Linked DNA regions of Caenorhabditis elegans. The protein of the gene in region 2 purifies or fractionates together with the protein of the main gene of each other region. This does not show direct contact. Each region holds a gene or a part of one and is shown on either strand. Other genes may lie near its edges. The genes, in order: let-611, W06E11.1 and rpc-2.

Region 1 (4,965 bases), on a different chromosome or scaffold from region 2:
TATTTAGAATTTTTCTTAGAAAATAAATTTGAATTTTTTTGTCAGATCTACGGTTTCGTTAGTTAGATTAGAAGTCGTGGTGGAACCAGCCAAATACAATGACTTGCGCCTTTAAAGTTATGTTTCACATAGTCATGAATACAATATCATTAAAACTTTTATGCTTACTATCGAATATTGAACGGTGTGAAGCAGAATGAACAGAAAGACAGAAAAAATTTCCTGTTTCAGGTTTCAATAAAAACATTTCTCTTCGGGGTATTCATAATAAATATTCAATTTGCTAAGTTTGTTGAAATAGACTCTTTCATCAATTCTCATGTTTAGTGATGAAGCCAATCTTTACAGGAACACATCACGAACGAATGAATCATTCAGATGAGAATAAAAAGAGAAAAAACCACAAAAAAGTGGTGGATGAAAGGGAAGAAAGTGTAACGAATGGTGTAACAAATGCTTATTTATATTTATATTTATGTGGAATTGAAAGAGAATGAACAGAACAAAGGACAAAGAAAAAGTTATCAAAGTGATGGAATTGAAGGTAGAAGCAACAAAAACGGAAAACCAAATAACTGAAAAACGTTCATTTTTTTTAACAATGATAATATGACAAAATCAGATAACATAACAACTCGGATAAATTTTAAAAAAACAACGAAGTAACAAATTTTAGTTTTCCCCTGAAGCCAAGAACAATTTGAAAGAGAGCAAAACTCGAATTGATTGATCCTGAGCAGCCAGCAAAGTAGCCTGAGCTTTACGGAAGCGATTCAATTGTGCACGATCTGGACCAGGAAGGTACATTTCTTCAACTTCTGCAATTTGTGCCAACTTTGAAGCTTCATCGAGTTGCTCAGAAGAGCGAATGTTTTCAATAATTGGTTGAACATTCGCATCCTTGTCGAGCACCGATTTATTTTCAGTTCGTTCATGTCGTTGACGAACAATAAGGTTTCGGACCAATTTGCAAGTGTACTCTACGAGACCACGAATAGTACGAGGTAGATCTACATAGTAGAGATAGAATGTGCGAGCGGGTTGGAAATCGTTGCTACGACCGACAGGCTGAAATATTTCAATATGTTGAAGTACAATAATTTTTGAATTCGTGTTATACCAACTATTCAGTAAATTAAAGTAGAATAATTCAACCGAAAATTACCTTATTGAACACATATCCTTCTTCAACTAATGCGTATAACATTTCTCTTGCTTCTTTTCCACTCATCATGCTCAACTTCTCTACTTGTTCTTCATCCAGATAATGACGATTTTCAAGAAGTCTCATAACTCGAATTGCACGTCCTTCGAACTGTTCTCTGATGAGCGATTCACAGTGATGACGACAGATTTGACGAATAGCGCGACGAATGTCTGAAATAATTTAACTTTCATATTTGAAAATCTTCAAAGAATTTAGAGAGAAAAAAACATACCGACAATAAAAATACCTCCATTTGATTCTCCAAGTTTTCTGATAATTCCGTCCGATTCATCAACAAGGATCTGGCAAGCGAGTTCAATATCTGGCTTGGCAAGGTTCAGTCCATTTTCTTTAACAAGTCGTTGCAAATCGGTCAACTGAAACGGAATAATAACCATTTTTTAATAATCACTAATCAAGCAAAAAGTAGGCTTACACTGGCTGTGATACTCTCCATACTCATTGGTTTAGCTCTCGTTTCGTTAATTTTGAACATAAGATGAGCCACATTCTGTGTGATGTATTGAGTTCTATCTCCTTGTGGATCTTCGATGGTTTCTTCTTTTTTGACATTTAAATTTGTCATTGTACCTTTTGAACCACCTCCAATAAGATAATCAATAATAAGCTCATCGCGAAGATATCCATTGAATCGGATCCAATTGATTCTCCAATATTGACCTGCATCACCATCCTCTGGAGTTGAATCAGCTTTTCGCTTTCGGTTGTTTGAAGTTGAGTCGCTAGTGGATGTTCCTGTAATAAAATATATGGAATTTATTTAAAAAGATTACTATGGTGCTAAAATGCCCGAATATGTATATCATAATAAAACATTTCAAAAAATTCGGAAAATCATATATTTTGAACCAAAAACCGGTGAAAACTCATTTTTCACCAATTTGTTTGGATGCTGTCAAGCAAATGTTTTTTTTCAGTTTTATTATGTTTGAAATATTTATATTTCATAGTGCTTCAGATTTCTCTAAGAGCGAACTCATTTGAACCACTTTTTAACACGAATTAAAACAAATTTTTAAAAAATTTAGATTTCAATATTTAGTAATTTAAGTATCATGCATGATAGAAATAAATTTAATCATTTTCCTACATGTCTATTCACTATTTATTTTTGATCACGATTTCAATCGTAATAAATACAATACAATACAATACAGACCGCATTCTAAATTTAAAGATTGCTTTATACTATTTTATTCTCATTACCTTCTTTCTTTTCCATGATATTAGTAGATATTGCAAATGGATCAAAATTGGTCACAAATTGAGGACAACCATGAATTTCTGATTCTACAGACGGAACTCGAATGAGAAAATGTGCAGCTGCGAGTTCTTCGAAAGATTTCTTGATGTCACTGAACACGGCCGTCTCATCTGTCGCTTGAATTCGACGAATTGTCTCGGATACGGTAAGCCGCCCTTGAGAAATAAGTTCGACGCAGATAGACTCTGCAGCAGGTCCGTAGAGCGTTTTAGCAATGAGGCAAGCTCTGAAAATTATATATTTGGCTCTATAAAATATATTTACAACTTTTTACCTCGGCGAGGAAATGACATGTTGAATTTGGTCGGAATCTGCAACATATGTGGTTCGATTGTTCGTGTCCAAGTGGAAAGTAACAAAACCAAAGTTGATCAATGTGGAAACCGATTTTCTGATCTGAAAATTTATCTATTTTTTCTGCAAGTGAACTCAATATCCTCCAAATCAATATAACTAACTAGAGTATTTGAAATTTGTCCTTTCAGTTTATAAAAAAGAGTAGACAACTGGCAGCTTTCTTTCAGAATCGTCTCCATTACTTTCGCCACAATCTGTAATTCAAAAAAAGTTTAAAAAGAAAGTTTTTAAATTCTTACCTTTCCGAAAATATCTTCGATGATAATTACACACATTTGAGTCTCATACTTTCCACCACCCATTTTTGATCTGAAGGTCTTTTAGTAAAAAAGCTTTCCTTGGAAGTTTTACAGATATTTGGCTTTGCAACCGCTCTGGAAATTGTTTTTTGAAAATATTTTTTTTAAGTGTTGTTTCTAATACAATAAAAACAAGTAAAACAAAACAAATAAAAAGTTAACAAAAAATTCAACAACTGGCAAATAAAAATGCAACAAAAAACATTATTGTCTTCTGCGAATAGCCCTTTTTCGTCCTTCCTTCTTTCCTTTTGCCGCTTTCTTTCGTTCCTTTTGGGATTTTTTGTGTCGTTTTGTGTCCCCGCCAGCACCAGAAGATGTAGCACGCTTTCTGAATAATGGATCATATGTTGGACAATTTTAAAAGTTAAAGATTACCTTTTATTTCCTTCGGAAAGTGCTCTACCATCTTCTCCTCTCATCATATAATCTCCAAAACTGAGCAAATCATCAAGAGTTTCCGAACGTCCTAGTTGTTCGCTTCGTCGTTTCTGATCCTTATTCAATCGAATTCTGGTGAAGTTATCCTCCTCATAACGTTCTCTCTCACGATCATATTGATATTTCTTCTCACTCATCTCTCGAATTTCTTCCGGAGCATCACTGTATTGATTTTTGAGTTCCATAATAAGACTACTTTGCATTGCACGACGTTTTGCCTTTTCTTGTTGCTTGTTCGGAGCTTCGTCTTCTTCTAAAATGAACATAACTTTACGGAAAACTAATTTTTGAACATACCTTCATATCGAACTGCTCTAATTCTTGGTGCCACATATTTCTTAACTTCCTTTGCTCCTTTTCCTTCCTCATCATCTTCATCTTCCTCCTCTTCTTCTTCATCTCCTTCAACGTCCATATTGTCTAATCGAACTCTGTGATTTCCCTTGGAAGAACCATTTGATGCTCCACTCTCGGCGCTTGACCGGCCTAGTAGCTTTTCAATTTGAGGTTTCATCTTATCCTCGACTGGTTTCATTTTTTCAATGAACTGAAACTAGTTTTTTAGGAACAGTTGGAATACTAAAATACATACCACTCTATGCTTTAAAGCTCTTTTAACAGATGGTTCTACTGTAATTGACTCTCCTTTCATCATTTTCGACATAAGGACAGTCAACTCTCCAAGGTACGCTGTCATTTCATAGTTTTTCAGCTTCAGAAGACTAAGCCCCTGTAAATAAAAAAGTTTTTGAATAAATCTTGAGGTTTTCATTTCACTTCTTTGTCATCGTTCGTTTCCTCCATCCGATCGAAAACTTTACTGAAAGCTTTTACTGCTTCTGCAGTTTGAGTTTCCAGTTCTGCCACTAAATCAGCAAACGCTTCTTGCTCCGTTTCGGTCATCTGAAAGAAACGTTTTTTTTGATACAACACAAATTCAAAAAGTTAATTAATAAGATCATTCAAGATAAATTGTTGGAAACGTACCACACAAAAAAAAACAGTTTAAAAAAGAAAGTAAAGCGTTTTCTAAATTTATTTTTCTTTGGTTATTGGAATGCGTGAATTGAGTTATTTGTATAAAATTTACAGAAATGGTGGATAAATCTTTGATTAAATTGTTATCTACACGGCGGAAGAAGATGGTGGTGGCGGTGGTGGTGGTCCATCATTTCCGTCGTTTTTCGCATATGCCATAAACATTTCTTTAAGAAATGATAACTCTTTCTGTAGCTGCTCGACCTGATAGAGGGAATTAATTAAAATTAAAAAATCAAGTAAACAAGTACCTTTCTTTCTAGTGTTTCGTTCTCCTTTTTTAATTCGTCTACTTTTTCTGCAGTGTCATTTTCTTCCTGGCGTTTTTTTTGTCGGGT
Region 2 (6,197 bases):
TATAAGCAAACGCGCTCTATTGACAATTGATGGTTGTTTCTTTAAAACTCCAAGTTTTTGTTCACTTTTCGTGGGTTCTTGACAATGAAAATAGGGAAAAATTATGGAATTTTCGGCTTTTTCGAAAAAATTGCGTCACCAGTACGCTAGGAAATATTTAAATTTATAAGCTCTAAAAATCACAATTTTAAAAAGGAAAACTTTGAAAAAAGCAAACACTCTGTTGGCAATTTTTAGATTTCTTTTTCGTGAAAGCAAAATCAAAATCAAGAAATAAAACCCGAAACTTGATCTAAATTTGAAAGAAAAGGGTTTTGATCTCTCCCGCCCCGCCCCTAAAGTACAGCAATAATCTGAAAAATCAACACGTGTTGGCAAATAGCAAAAAGTGTAATATAATGTTTGTAAAAAGATTTGAAATTGATCATTCGGATACCGTTCGGGAATTCGGCTATTTTAGGGGAAAATCGGATTAAAATTCTCGGAGTAGTGAAATAAAAATTATTCAAAATAACAGAAAAATGAAAAACAACAACAAAAGATCAACAAAAATCGGTGGAGAATTTGGTGGTGATGATGGAAACAATAGAATGACGTGGGAGAGGAAAATTGAGTTTTTGGAAAAATGACCGAAATTTACAGAAATTTTGAATTTCCAGAAAAACAATTTTTGTGAGTTTTTTTGTGAAAAATTGAATTTTTTACAAATTGAAAATTTTGAATTGATTTTTGTTCCAAAAAATTGACAAAAATTCCAATTTGTAAAAATCAATATTCTATTAGATATTCTCAATATTGACGGGAGGTTTTTCAGAAGGCAATAATTAAAAAATCGGTTTTTTAAAGGATTTTTTTTGAATTTCAGAAATTTTTTTTTTGAAATTTTCGTTAAAAATTGGAAAAAATATTTTTTGTCATTTTTTCTAAATTTCAAAATTTCAATGGAAAATTGACTAGTTTCAGTGATTTTTTTTCCAAAAGAAAATTCAAATTTTCTGTAAATTCCAGGCTAAAAAGGCTAAAAAAAAAGAAATAAATCATTTTTTCTTCGGGGACTTGGCAGGCGATTCCTGCAGCGACTTCTCCAATTCATTAAATTTCTGAACCCATTTTGCCTTCTGCTCAACCACATGCTTCTTCATAGCCGGATCCTCCAAAAACTGAGCATCCCGTTCGACGCGAAGTCTCCATGATCTGGTAGCTTCACATTTGACACCAAAAGTCGACAAAATTTCATCGGAATCCCGTTCGCTGAGCTGAAACACATATGTTTTAAATTTTTGAATTCATGTAGATTCATCTTCTGAACTCTGATTTTTTTTCGAAATTTCGAGAATTGCTAAATTTATATTAAAATTTTATTTAATTCTTCGTAATTTATTCAAATGCTTCCTAGATTTTTTTCCCCCTTTTTTAAAATTTACATTTCAATCAAATTCTGCGTAAAATTGAAGTTTTTTTGATCATTTAGCATTCAATTCCAATGTGGAAATTTTAACTTCATTTTTCCAATGAAAAATTTGCAAAAAAAAAGCCTCCTAATTTCAGTAAAGAATCAGGAACAACTTCATAATTGAATTTTTCAATTTTGTTTTTTTACTGGAAATTTGGTTGATTTCCAGGAATTTTCAATAAGTTTTTCTTAACTTTTCCAGTCAAATGTTCAGTGGAAAAGTGAAGTTTCCACAGGAATTCCAGTTTTAAATATGAGTTTTTCTACCTTAAAGCATGTCATAAGAGTAAGCCGAGTGACTCTATGACCACCATCAATCAGGCAAAGTGCCAAATCTCGCGCGTTTCTCCAAAGCTCTGCCCGATACAAATCCGTCTTTCCCGCCGTATTCGAGTGCGCCGGCGCCAAATTTTTGAACATTAAATTCGAATCCAACACCCAGACGCCTTGAACTAAACTCGCGCATTCCTTGAGCTTCGCAATCATTTTATCAGTGCTCATTGCGGATGGATCGATTAAACGACGCATTTCAGAAGTCTTCATCACGTGAGATTTCACCATATGCGCCTTTAATTGAAGGTTTGGATCCGGAAGATCATCGATTCGTTGTTTGGAAAGCATATGTTCTTTTCCTGATTCGATTACTCTGAAAAACATTAATTTTAGGGTGTTTCTAGTGGAAATTCCAGTAGAAATGTAAAATTTTTGGTCTTTTTAACGAAAATTACACTAAAAATACAAACATTTTGGAGGTTTTAATGAAAATTACATTAAAAATACAAAAAATTTAGCGTTTTCATGTCAAAAATCTAAAATCCAGGATTTTTCGTTCAAAACAAGTAAAAATTCCTCTAGTTTTGTGATTTACAAGAAGAAAAACTAATTTTCAGGAACATTTTCAATTAAAACAATCCAATTTCAGGATATTTAGTTTTAGAAGAAATAAATTTATTTTTTTAAGGGAAAAATATGAATTTTTAGGCTTTTTCAGCTGTAAAAAAACTATATTTTTGAGATATTTTAAAGTGAAAATCAGACTTTTTGAATTTTTGATGTTTTCCGTCAAGTAACAGAATTTTAATTTTTTTTTCTCAGAAGAAATTAAATTTTGGGAATTTTTAGTGAAAAAAGATTTTGGAAATTTCTAAATTATTTCTGAATTGAATTTCTGAACTGAAAAAAAAAACCAAAATTCCCAAGTTTTCAGCCATTTTTTTCGGGATTTTGTGGAAAAAAACTGAAAAATTCCGTTTTTCCACACTATTTTTCTGTGCAAAATTACAACAAAAAAACGAACAATTCCTCCTTAACACCACAAATAATAGCTCTATTAACAAGAGCTCTAATGCTCATTCGTGAAGCTTCAGGATCGTCCAAAAGGAGTCCATTCTGACTAATTCCATCAATTTTTTCAGCGACAGGGTCACCATCTTTCAAATGAACTTTCATCGGAATCCACATATCACTTGCAATCTTTTTCTCTCGATGTAACGCCGATGCTTCTCGTCGTTTTTTTTGTCGTTCAGTTTCAGGCCGAGAAAATTTGACTCTAACTGCGGCGGAGGATGGCTTAACGTCTTCTTCTTCTCCAGACGAATCTTCATCGGATTTTCCAGATTTTCCGTCGGATTTCTTCTTTTTATTCAACCCTTGAATTGATCGATGCATTTCGAATGCTCCAGTCAGCGGATGAATGAAGAATTCGCCGTTTTTAAAAAATCCAATTGCATTGACTATTGGGTGATCGTGGATGAATGCACGGCCTTCGTAGATCTCATCGTTGGCTCGGAGAGCACTGGAAGAATTGAAATTATGTGAAAAACACACAATTTTCGAATGAAAATTCGAAACTAGGCTCTTCTAAGTGGATAGCAGATCAAATTTTAAAAAACACTGACTTAAAATTGATTTTTCTACTCTTTTTTCAACAAATGTAACGAATTAATTAGCAATTTTTTAAATCAATTTTTTTTCAAAAAACGCAAGAAATCTGTAAATCTGTCCCTACCCTCGATTAGCAATCGAAACATTTAGCAGACCCAACCCTTTTGGTCTGCTAATTATTTAACAGACCAAATTTCAAAAAAACTCCGCATTAAGCCTCAAAAATTGATTTTTCTACGTTTTTTGCTACAAACCGAAAGCATTTTATTGAACTTTTCATTTAAAAAACGAAAGAAATCTGTAAATTCTTTGAAAATCCTCGAATTTTAATCGAAATATTTAGCAGACCCAGCCTCATTGGTCTGCTAATTGTTTAGCAGACCAACCATGGGTCTGCTAAATATTTAGCAGACCCAAAATTGGTCTGCTAATTATTTAGCAGACCCAAAATTAATCTGCTAAATATTTAGCAGACCCAACCTCATTGGTCTGCTAAATATTTAGCAGACCAACTATAGGTCTGCTAAATATATTCTTTACCTTCTACTTTTTTCAAAGCAAATTTCAGGTGTATTTTCATACTTTCAGCATCAAAAACTGTGGTAAAACCTACTCAATTCCATGTCCTTTTTTCGGGACATCTCCATCCATATACATAAGTTCTGCCTTCTTTTTGTCATATGATCCGAGTTGGGTGTCTGTCATGAAGCGCATTTCTAGCTGAAAATCAGTGACATTGAAAATTCGATCTAAAATTGATTAAATTGTGAAAAAAACGGCTACTTTTTCAGATGTTTTTGGGCATTTCTCTAAACGTTTGACAGGATTTGTTCAATTTGTTCAATAATTCTAGTGTCCTATTTTCCGATTTTCAATGAATTCAAGCCAATTTCAAGTGTTTTTCCGTACCAATCGAACATTCTTCTTATATCTGGCAATTGGAAATCGCTTTGCATCCCAGGCGTCTCGTTTGCTCGAAGGATACGAAACAGAGAACATTTCAGTATTTGGTGTGGAATTGCACACAACTACGTCGCATTCCCAAACGACTTGATCTTCAACTGAATCATCCTCTTCATCTGATAGAAATTCCGGTTTTTTGACAAGTTTTCGAATAATTTGCTCTTGTTCGTCGTCAGAAGCACCGTCTACTTCCATTTAGTATGAGATCCTGAAAAATTTGAGCGATTTGGACGGTTTATACGAATTATATATTTAAAAATCGTTTGTTTTTCCTTAGTTTTGTTGAAAAACCCCATTTTTACCTAGAAGAACACAAATTTTCCCGAAAAATTTGGAAAAATAAAAGCTAAAATGCAATTTTTTGTGTAATTAATAAGGATTTTTGTAGAAAATTTTAATTTTAGTTTACTAATATTTTTGGAGAATTTTTAGACACAATTTTTGTGAGATTCTGACTTTTTTTGCGATTTTTCTAGTTCTCTCACGGAAAACTCAGCAAAAATCTCGTCTTTCCAATCAAAAATTCCCAAAAAACCACTGAAAAATGTTAAATTTCAATCAATAAATGCCACGTGGCAAATAAATATTAACAGAAGATGTTAAAACTTCCAAAAATCGATTTAAAAAACCAGAAAAAAATTAAGAAAAAAACATTTTTAGCTAAAAAAACGAAAAATCAACAAACAAAAAGATAAATTCAACAAAAAATGTGTCAACAAGTAAATTTCAATTCATTTTTTCGATAATATTTGCAAGTTTTCTCGGTTTTCCATCGCCTTCCGTAGTGGTTCCATAGGCTTTGTTACGTTGTTGACGGCTTTCCAGGTCCAAAATTGCGGTCTTTTTGATCTTTTTCAGGCCTGGATGGACTTCTGAAGAGCCTTCAACGGGTTCTTCGCCTTCTTCATAAATAAATCCTCCTAGTACCTTGGGCTTCACCTCTTGCGGGAGAATTGTGATGGCGCCAGTGACGAAACTCTCTGAAAAAAATTGTTATTGGGTAATTTTATCAACTTTTAAGCTTAATTCTATGCTTACGAGCTTTAATATTCTTCGAGTCAGCTTCTTCCCGCTCCCTGAACGCCGGAATATGCACCATCCGCTCCTTTTTCGACTTTGGCGCAACAATAGCTCGGAAAACTCCGGATTCTGAAAAATTTCTCATAGATTTTTCTCAATAAAATACTCTCACCTGTCTTCAATTTGGTTTTCGTCAACACTTCCTCGTCGTTTGACCATTTTAGCGCCTCCAAATCTTCTAAACTAACACCAATCGGTTTTTTGATGAGGAAAACTTGAAAATCCGAGCTCTCATCGATCGTCATGTCAGCCACACCATTTCTGGCTTCTTCCTTAATACATTTAATTAAAACCAAAAAAGTTGTAATCAAGAAATTCAATTCTTACCACTTTTTTTACCCGTTTTCCAGATTGCTCTGAGTCCGAGTCCTGGTGCTTTCGTTTTTTGCCCATTTTACTGGAAAATTTTGCAAAATTTCAGATTTTTTAAAATTATAAAACACAAATATATTAAAAATAAATGCGTTTAGCGAAAAAAAATTGGAAAATCTGCAAAAAAAGGAAAAAATATGTTTCACAAAAAAGTGCGATAGGGCGCCGTTGCATACCACAAGAGACTTCACGAAATTGAGAGATTTCACATTGGAGAAATGAGGAACAACGAGTAAATGACATATAATTTTAGATTTTCTTGTTACAAAGTAAATAATTTATTTTCATTTAATAAAATCTTACATTTTATAACACTTTTACTAGGTGTTCAACTAAAAAACCTCGCGTTTATACTGTGACATTCGGAAACATGCGTTCTGCAAACAACCTTTTACCCAGAGAGAGCGTGGTCTCCTTGAGTTCTCAATTTCTATTGATTTTCTTT
Region 3 (7,910 bases), 4.9 Mb from region 2:
AATTTTCTGTTCTAAACTCAGAAATTTCCAGGAAGTCTGCCAGAAGATGTCGTTCTCCGTGAGCGCCGCCGCCAAGTCGGAAATCCTTGTCGACACACACGGATCGAAGAAGGTGGTTACATTGAATAGGCCTAAAGCGCTAAACGCGTTGAACCTCGAAATGGTACGAGAGTTTTATCCCAAACTTCAAGCCTGGAATTCATCTTCCGATGTGGATCTTGTCATTTTGAAAGGATCCGGTGATAAGGCGTTCTGTGCTGGAGGAGATGTTCTTGCCGTTGTGCGATCTTTCAAAGATTCGGAGAGTGGAAAAGAGTGCACAATGCACAAGGATTTCTTCCGCGAGGAGTACATTTTAAATCATTTAATTGGAACTTTGAATAAGCAATACGTTTGTCTGATTGATGGAATTGTGATGGGAGGAGTAAGTTATCTGCAACTATTTTCTTTTCAATTTTTTAAAAAACTTGTTTCAGGGTTGTGGTCTTTCTGTAAATGGACGTTTCCGAGTTGCCACTGAGAAAACAATGCTAGCAATGCCAGAAACCGCACTTGGACTCTTCCCAGACGTCGGTGGATCCTATTTCCTTTCAAGGCTCAAGGGAAACCTCGGAATGTACTTGGCACTCACTGGATATCGTCTTCTAGGTGCTGACGCTTTCCATGCTGGTCTTGCCACTCATTTTGTGGAGTCTTCGGAACTTGCGAAATTGGAAAAGGAACTTGTGAATATTAAGGATGTGACAGAGAACTCTGTCGATGAAGTCATCAGATCGTTCGAGCCAAAGAAGATTCCAGAATTCAGTCTGTCCAAGAATTTGGCTCAAATTAGAGATTCCTTCAAAGCAAAGTAAGATATTTTGTCACCAAGATCACGTGTATTTGAGTTGGAACAAATTAAAAAGTAGCATTTCATCGAATTGATTTATTATTGTTTCTCAGATAATATTAGTTTTAAGCAAAAACTAGGAAAGGGCCAGTTTTGAGGATTCGATAGCACACAAAAAATTACATTTGCCTAAGATATATAAAATAATTGATTTTTCAGAAGCGTCGAAGAAATCCTCGCAAGCCTCGAAAAAGACGGATCCGACTGGGCAAAGAAGCAAGCAGCCACTCTAGGAAAAATGAGCCCAACTTCCCTGAAAGTAACTCACCGACAAATCACCGAAGGAAGCAAGATGAGCTATGCAAAGATCTTCACAATGGAGTATCGTCTCACTCAACGATTCCTCGCCGATAAGGATTTCCATGAAGGGTGCCGAGCCAGTGAGCAGAGATTTTGTAGGGTTTCATTGAAAATTTGACTCATTTTTCAGTTCTCGTTGACAAGGATCGCAAGCCAAAGTGGAATCCAGCGACGTTGGCTGATGTGAAGGATTCTGTCGTCGATAACTATTTCTCGCCATTGCCAAATAATTCTGATTTAAAATTGTAGAGGCCAGAATTAGCGGAAAATTGAATTTTTAATGGAAAGCTAAAAAATCAGGGAAACCCATAATTTTTATCGGATTTCCTCGTTTTCCTATCTTTTCACCCAAAATGTTGATTTTCCCCCATAATTTTTACCATTTTAATAGGAACCCCTTATGTATTTATTTTTAGAAAAATGTCTAGCTATAATTTAATTTTTCCGGGTGTACAAATAATTTCCGTGCCTTTTTCAGCTATTCGCCGTATGAATATAAAGTTTTTTTTTGTTTTTGAATTTTATTTCCAGATTTCTATTGCAAACTGTTATTTTCTGTTTTTGTACCTCTTTTTCAAATAATTTTTATTCTAGAATTTCAGATTTTCAATACCAATTTTCAGATGACAATTGGCCAAGTGAACGGCCGCGCTCGCATAAAATCCGAGTGCGGCAAGGATCAGAAATGCATGCCACTCGAGGACAAATGGCTTCTCGTTCCCGCGTTTTTGAAAGTTCGAGGACTCGTCAAACAGCATCTCGTCAGTTTCGATCATTTCGTGCAGGAGGAGATCCGAAGTATCATGCTCTCCAATCAGAAGATCACTTCCGATGCAAATCCAAACTTTTATCTCAAATATTTGGATATTCGAATCGGAAAACCCAGCAGTGAGGAGGGTCTCAACATGACTCACGATAAGATTACCCCTCAAGAATGTCGACTACGAGATATGACCTACTCGGCGCCAATTTCAGTGGATATTGAGTACACACGTGGTAATCAAAGAGTATTCAAGAAGGATCTGATCATTGGTCGAATGCCGATTATGCTTCGTTCGAGTAAATGTATTCTCAGAGATCTTGCCGAAGAAGAGCTTGCAAGAGTTCAAGAATGCCCATATGATCCAGGAGGTTATTTTGTGGTCAAAGGAAGTGAAAAGGTTATCCTGATTCAAGAACAACTCTCCAAAAATCGTATTATGGTTGGAAGAAATTCAAGTAAAGAACTGCAGTGTGAAGTACTTTCGTCGACGTCCGAGAGGAAAAGTAAGACATATGTGACTATGAAGAAGGGTAAATATTCTGTTCGCCACAATCAGCTCACCGATGATGTACCAGTTTCCATCATTTTCAAGGTAAATTTTGAGAATTTTGATGACAACTGAAAAAAAAAATGTTCGGCATTCATTCCTAAATATTTTATTTAAAAAAAAAAACATCCAATACAAAAACATTCTCCGAAAAATATTTTTCCAAATTTTGATGCAAAAAATATTCTCAAAAAATGTTTTAGAATAAAAAATAATGAAGCTTTCTTTCTTTCTGATTGTGAGAAACTGAACATTTTACGATATTTTCAATCGAAATTCCTCAAAAACATTTATTATCGAATCTGGAGTTTTTCAGATTTTTTTTTCCAAAATTCGAGTTCGCTTTTTTTAATTCAAGAAAATTATTACAAAAAATAGGGAAAATTTTAAAAAAAGTGTAGCATTATGTTAAAACAAAAACTAAAAACCGCTTCCTTTTCAAAGTTTCAATTTTCCAGGCGATGGGAGTCGAATCAGATTTTGACATTGTGAGTACAATCGGTCACGAGGAGAAGTACGTTTCAGCATTTGCTCAAACTCTCGAAGAATCCATAAATGCCGGAGTTTATACCCAACAGCAGGCACTCGCATATGTTACCTCAAAAGTCAAGGCTCGTAAATTCACACCATTCGGATCACTTCCAGGAACTTCAGTGAGCGTCTTGACTCCACCGAAAGAACACGAAGCAGTCGATTTTCTGTCCAATTCAATGATCACACATATTGCTTGCCCAGATGGAAATTTCAAAATGAAGGCGATTTATTTGGGATTAATGACAAGACGACTGATTCAAACGGAACTCGGAGAAAATGGGCTTGATGATCGGGATTTCTACGGAAATAAACGTTTGGAGCTCGCTGGATCATTGCTTTCGTTGCTGTTTGAGGATGTATTCAAAAGATTCAACTCTGAACTGAAAAGAATTGCAGACAATGCGTTGATGAAGACAATGGCTGCACCATTGGATATTGTGAAGCATATGAGACAAGATATGATTACGAATACTATAGTGAATGCTATGTCGACAGGAAATTGGATTATCAAAAGATTCCGAATGGAACGACTTGGTGTTACACAAGTACTAAGTAGATTGTCATATATCTCAGCACTTGGTATGATGACAAGAATCAACTCGACTTTTGAGAAAACTCGAAAAGTCTCTGGTCCTCGATCCCTTCAACCATCTCAATGGGGAATGCTTTGTCCGAGTGATACTCCTGAAGGTGAAGCTTGTGGTCTTGTGAAGAATCTCGCTTTGATTAGTCACATTACAACTGATTCCGATGAGAAACCCGTTCTCAGATTGTTACTCAATTCGGGAGTCGAGGATTTACATAATGTGCATTTCTCGCATGTCAATAAGCCGTGAGTTTTTACAAATTAAAATTTTAAGTGTGAAATCTTGAAAAATAAAAGTTTTGAGAATGCTAGTTTTGAAAAAATCGCATATTTTAATCAATTTTTATAAATTTCTAAAATAAATTATCAATTTCATAAAAATTAGATTTCAAATCGAGTTAAGGTTTGACAATTTTTGAAAATTACTAGATCCATTTTTTTGTGTTTTTTCCTAAAAAAAAGGTTATTTTTATCGAAAATTTTCAGTGAAAACACGTTGATCTTCTTAAACGGAGTGCTCATTGGAACAGCTGTGGATCCAGAAAGAGTGGTGAAAGCCGTCAGAGATTTGAGAAGGTTTCAACAAAAAAATGTTGCCAAAAAATTCATCGAATTTCAATTTCAGAAGTGGACTCCTGTCAGAATTTGTTTCAGTATCCCGTTCTCTAACCAATCGTTCTGTTTTCATTTCATCAGACGGTGGCCGCCTGTGTCGACCATATATTATTGTCAAAAACGGAACTCCAATGCTCACACAGGCTCACGTGCAGGAACTGAAAGAGGGAAAAATGATTTTTGAGGATTTTGTTGATGACGGAATTGTCGAATATTTGGATGTAAATGAGATGAACGATGCGTTGATTGCCGTTTATGGGAGAGAAATTGGCCCAGAAACTACACATTTGGAGGTACGTTTTTGAACTTTGTGAATCTAAAAATGAAAAAAATTAAATCGAAAACTGGTTGTTCTTTCCTGTAAAGAAAATTCAAAAAATTTGGTAAAATTTGTCTGAAACTTAAAACTATGTGAAAAAAGTTTAAATTCTCATTTTTTTAAATATAAAAAATTGAAAATCAAATTATTTAGAGCTCTAAAATTCTATAATTCAAGGAAATTCCAACATTTAAAGATTTTTATCCTTAGTTTAAAATAAAATTTGCACTTTTCAGTGTCTGAGCTATTAATAATCTTTCAAAATTTCCAGATTGAGCCATTTACTCTTCTTGGAGTGTGTGCTGGTCTTATTCCATATCCACATCATAATCAATCTCCACGTAATACTTATCAATGTGCTATGGGTAAACAAGCAATGGGAACAATTGCCTATAATCAACAGAAAAGAATTGATTCAATTATGTATCTTTTATGTTATCCACAGAGACCACTCGTTAAGTCAAAGGTTCGTTAAAATTGAAATATTTTAAAATTTATGAAAAAAATTTGATTAAAAAATGCATGTTTCATTTATTGAACTAATGTTTGTGGAGAGATATCGTTAATAATCCTGAAAATAAAAATAAATCAATTTCCTGAATTCCGAAAAATAAAAAAATCAAATCGGAAGTATCCGCTATATCTTTCTAATCAATTATTCTATTCAGAAATTTTTAATTTGTTTTTCTTTTAGAAAATTATCAATTGTTCAAACTTTTTACATCACAATTTTCCAGACAATCGAACTGACAAACTTTGAAAAACTGCCGGCCGGCGCGAATGGAATCATCGCAGTGATGTCATACAGTGGTTACGATATCGAAGATGCTCTTGTGCTCAATAAAGCTTCACTGGATCGTGGTTATGGTCGTTGTCTGGTCTACAAACATGTGAAGGGAACCGCCAAAAAATATCCGAATCAGACATTCGATCGTCTTCTAGGACCAGCATTGGATCCGAACACGAGAAAACCAATTTTCAAGCACAAAAATCTCGATCAAGAGGGTATTGTATTCGCCGGAGCACGTATTATGCCGAAACAGACGATTATCAATAAGCACATGCCAGTTGTCAGTGGAGAAAGTGGTCCTGGAGCGTCGGCTTCTGCCAATACAAGTATGTTGAAATGAGCATGACGAATTTGTATAAGGAAAATAAAAACGGAATGTACAGTTTCGAGAAGACATCTATTTTTTTAAAAGTTTTACGAAAAAAAACACGAAAAATATAAAAAAAAAAGAATAATAAACAATTCCCAGACCAACCTCGTAAAAATGAAAGCGAGTTTTCAACAGAAACCCTGTTTTAAAACTTTTTCCAAAAAATCTGAAGTATTTATAGCATTTTTTAATTTTTACCAATTAAACAAATGTTTTAAAAAAAAACTCAAAGAAACTGTCTCCGTTCTTTTTTGCGAATATAAATTTTCTAACTTTTTTACGTTCACAATTAAATAAAACTTGACATTTATTCCGTTCAAATATTCAATTAATTTAATTTAAAACGAAAATTTAAATATAAAACTCTGAAAAAGTAAAAAAAAAAACGTTCACTAACAATTCTTTAAATTTTCAGTCGGAATCGCTGGACGCCAAGTTGACTACAAAGACGTCTCGATCACGTATAAAACTCCAACTCCATCATATGCGGAACGAGTTCTTCTTACCTATAATGAAGATGAAGCTCATTTATTCAAAGTTCTTCTTCGACAAACCCGTCGGCCAGAACTTGGAGATAAATTCTCATCTCGACACGGACAAAAAGGAGTATGCGGATTGATTGCTCAACAGGAAGATATGCCATTTAATGATCTTGGAATGGTGCCAGATATGATTATGAATCCTCATGGATATCCATCTCGAATGACTGTCGGAAAATTAATGGAATTGTTATCTGGAAAAGCTGGAGTAGTGAATGGAACATATCATTATGGAACAGCATTTGGTGGAGATCAGGTTAAAGATGTCTGTGAAGAATTGGCTGCTTGTGGTTATAATTATATGGGAAAAGATATGCTGACAAGTGGAATTACTGGACAACCATTATCTGCTTATATCTACTTTGGACCAATCTATTATCAGAAGCTCAAGCATATGGTTTTGGATAAGATGCACGCCCGTGCCAGAGGACCGAGGTGTGGAGAGATTTTGAATTTAGATAATGTCTTGTCTGGAAATTCTGAATTTTGGAAAGAATTTTCAATTAAATATTTAAAAATTAAGTTTAGCAACAAAATCTGAAAAAGAAAAATTTTTAGAACAGTTAACTCTGCATTTTCCAACTTTCCTTTAAAACTTTTGATGTAAAACAATGAGGAATTGCAACATTTTTTTAATTAGAAAATTTGGTATCAATCAAAATTCACTTATTTTTATCATGGTTAAAATTTCGAAAAAAGCCAAATTGAAAAAGTTCTGAAAAAGGAATTGACAAAATGCTCGAAGCTTAGGAAATTAGGGGAAAAAAGAATCAATTTTTCATAGTGGAAATACATTTTTTTCAAATCCAATTCGCGGAAATGTTATGCATATTTTGGAACAAAAAAAACCATTTTAATTTTTCTCACATTTTTTAAATTAAAAAAAAAACTTTTTTTAAAAATTTTTTTCAATTTATTCTCAGAGTTTCTTTTAAAAATCTATAAATTTTCAGAGCCGCATTGACTCGCCAGCCAACAGAAGGAAGATCACGAGAAGGAGGTCTACGTCTTGGAGAAATGGAACGTGATTGTCTCATTGCCTATGGAGCATCGATGCTGCTTATTGAGCGTTTGATGGTGTCATCAGATGAGTTTAAGGTAAATTCCCTTACCGAGTTTTTTTTAAAAGTTTGCTACTTTTGTGTGTGTGCGCGCAATTTTTGCTCATCATTACACTAGCCGTAACACTCTCAAGTGGTTCTTTTTTGCGAAAATGAGGAGCGAAACTGTTGCGGGAGAGACTGGGAGAAGCCTTGCGTGGGTTGACTTTGCGGGTCGACTTTTCTTGGAAACTGGGTTGACGTTTTTTGGAAAGGTTCTTGAAAATTTTTGATTTACCGCAGAGAAAATTATGGATTTTGTTTGATCATGAGAGAATACATTTCCCGACTTTTATCTGAAAATATCGAAAAAAAAGGTCGGAAACCGATTATTAATTTTTTTTTGAACTCCCACTTTTTTATAAGAACAGAGAAATCGATTTTAAAAAAAGCATTTTCCCTAAAAACTTTTTAAAAAAAGCAAAACTTTCTATTTTAATGGCTCTGAATCTCTGTTGCTCGGAAGTTAAAAAAAATCAAATTTTCGGTGCTATTCGAGCAAGATCCATTCCCAAATAAAAAAAATCTCTCACAATTCAGCGATATTTCGGAGTTTTT

What was found.
Region 1: the proteins of W06E11.1 (region 2) and let-611 fractionate together in Caenorhabditis elegans (co-fractionation; one large-scale study listed by BioGRID). This does not show direct contact.
Region 3: the proteins of W06E11.1 (region 2) and rpc-2 fractionate together in Caenorhabditis elegans (co-fractionation; one large-scale study listed by BioGRID). This does not show direct contact.

The regions. Positions count from the first base shown.
Region 1 is NC_003279.8:6,253,228-6,258,192, reverse strand, and holds let-611 (DNA-directed RNA polymerase III subunit RPC3), read right to left. Parts: upstream 3,159-4,965; 5' UTR 3,152-3,158; coding exon 3,089-3,151; intron 3,044-3,088; coding exon 2,951-3,043; intron 2,889-2,950; coding exon 2,767-2,888; intron 2,719-2,766; coding exon 2,435-2,718; intron 1,964-2,434; coding exon 1,644-1,963; intron 1,585-1,643; coding exon 1,440-1,584; intron 1,378-1,439; coding exon 1,166-1,377; intron 1,069-1,165; coding exon 673-1,068; 3' UTR 573-672; downstream 1-572. Other genes in the region: lpd-2 (LiPid Depleted), read right to left, coding at 3,353-3,479, 3,527-3,842, 3,887-4,136, 4,182-4,319, 4,367-4,492; cebp-2 (CCAAT/enhancer-binding protein homolog 2), read right to left, coding at 4,715-4,831, 4,879-4,965.
Region 2 is NC_003281.10:640,370-646,566, reverse strand, and holds W06E11.1 (RNB domain-containing protein), read right to left. Parts: upstream 4,509-6,197; 5' UTR 4,496-4,508; coding exon 4,247-4,495; intron 4,058-4,246; coding exon 3,951-4,057; intron 3,249-3,950; coding exon 2,751-3,248; intron 2,100-2,750; coding exon 1,721-2,099; intron 1,257-1,720; coding exon 1,038-1,256; 3' UTR 501-1,037; downstream 1-500. Other genes in the region: tag-267 (Major sperm protein), read right to left, coding at 5,027-5,280, 5,339-5,449, 5,493-5,652, 5,708-5,773.
Region 3 is NC_003281.10:5,555,553-5,563,462, forward strand, and holds the start of rpc-2 (DNA-directed RNA polymerase subunit beta), read left to right. Parts: upstream 1-1,812; coding exon 1,813-2,544; intron 2,545-2,957; coding exon 2,958-3,865; intron 3,866-4,105; coding exon 4,106-4,195; intron 4,196-4,244; coding exon 4,245-4,527; intron 4,528-4,824; coding exon 4,825-5,019; intron 5,020-5,290; coding exon 5,291-5,669; intron 5,670-6,128; coding exon 6,129-6,687; intron 6,688-7,205; coding exon 7,206-7,350; intron 7,351-7,910. Other genes in the region: hach-1 (3-hydroxyisobutyryl-CoA hydrolase, mitochondrial), read left to right, coding at 32-424, 477-850, 1,049-1,269, 1,320-1,438.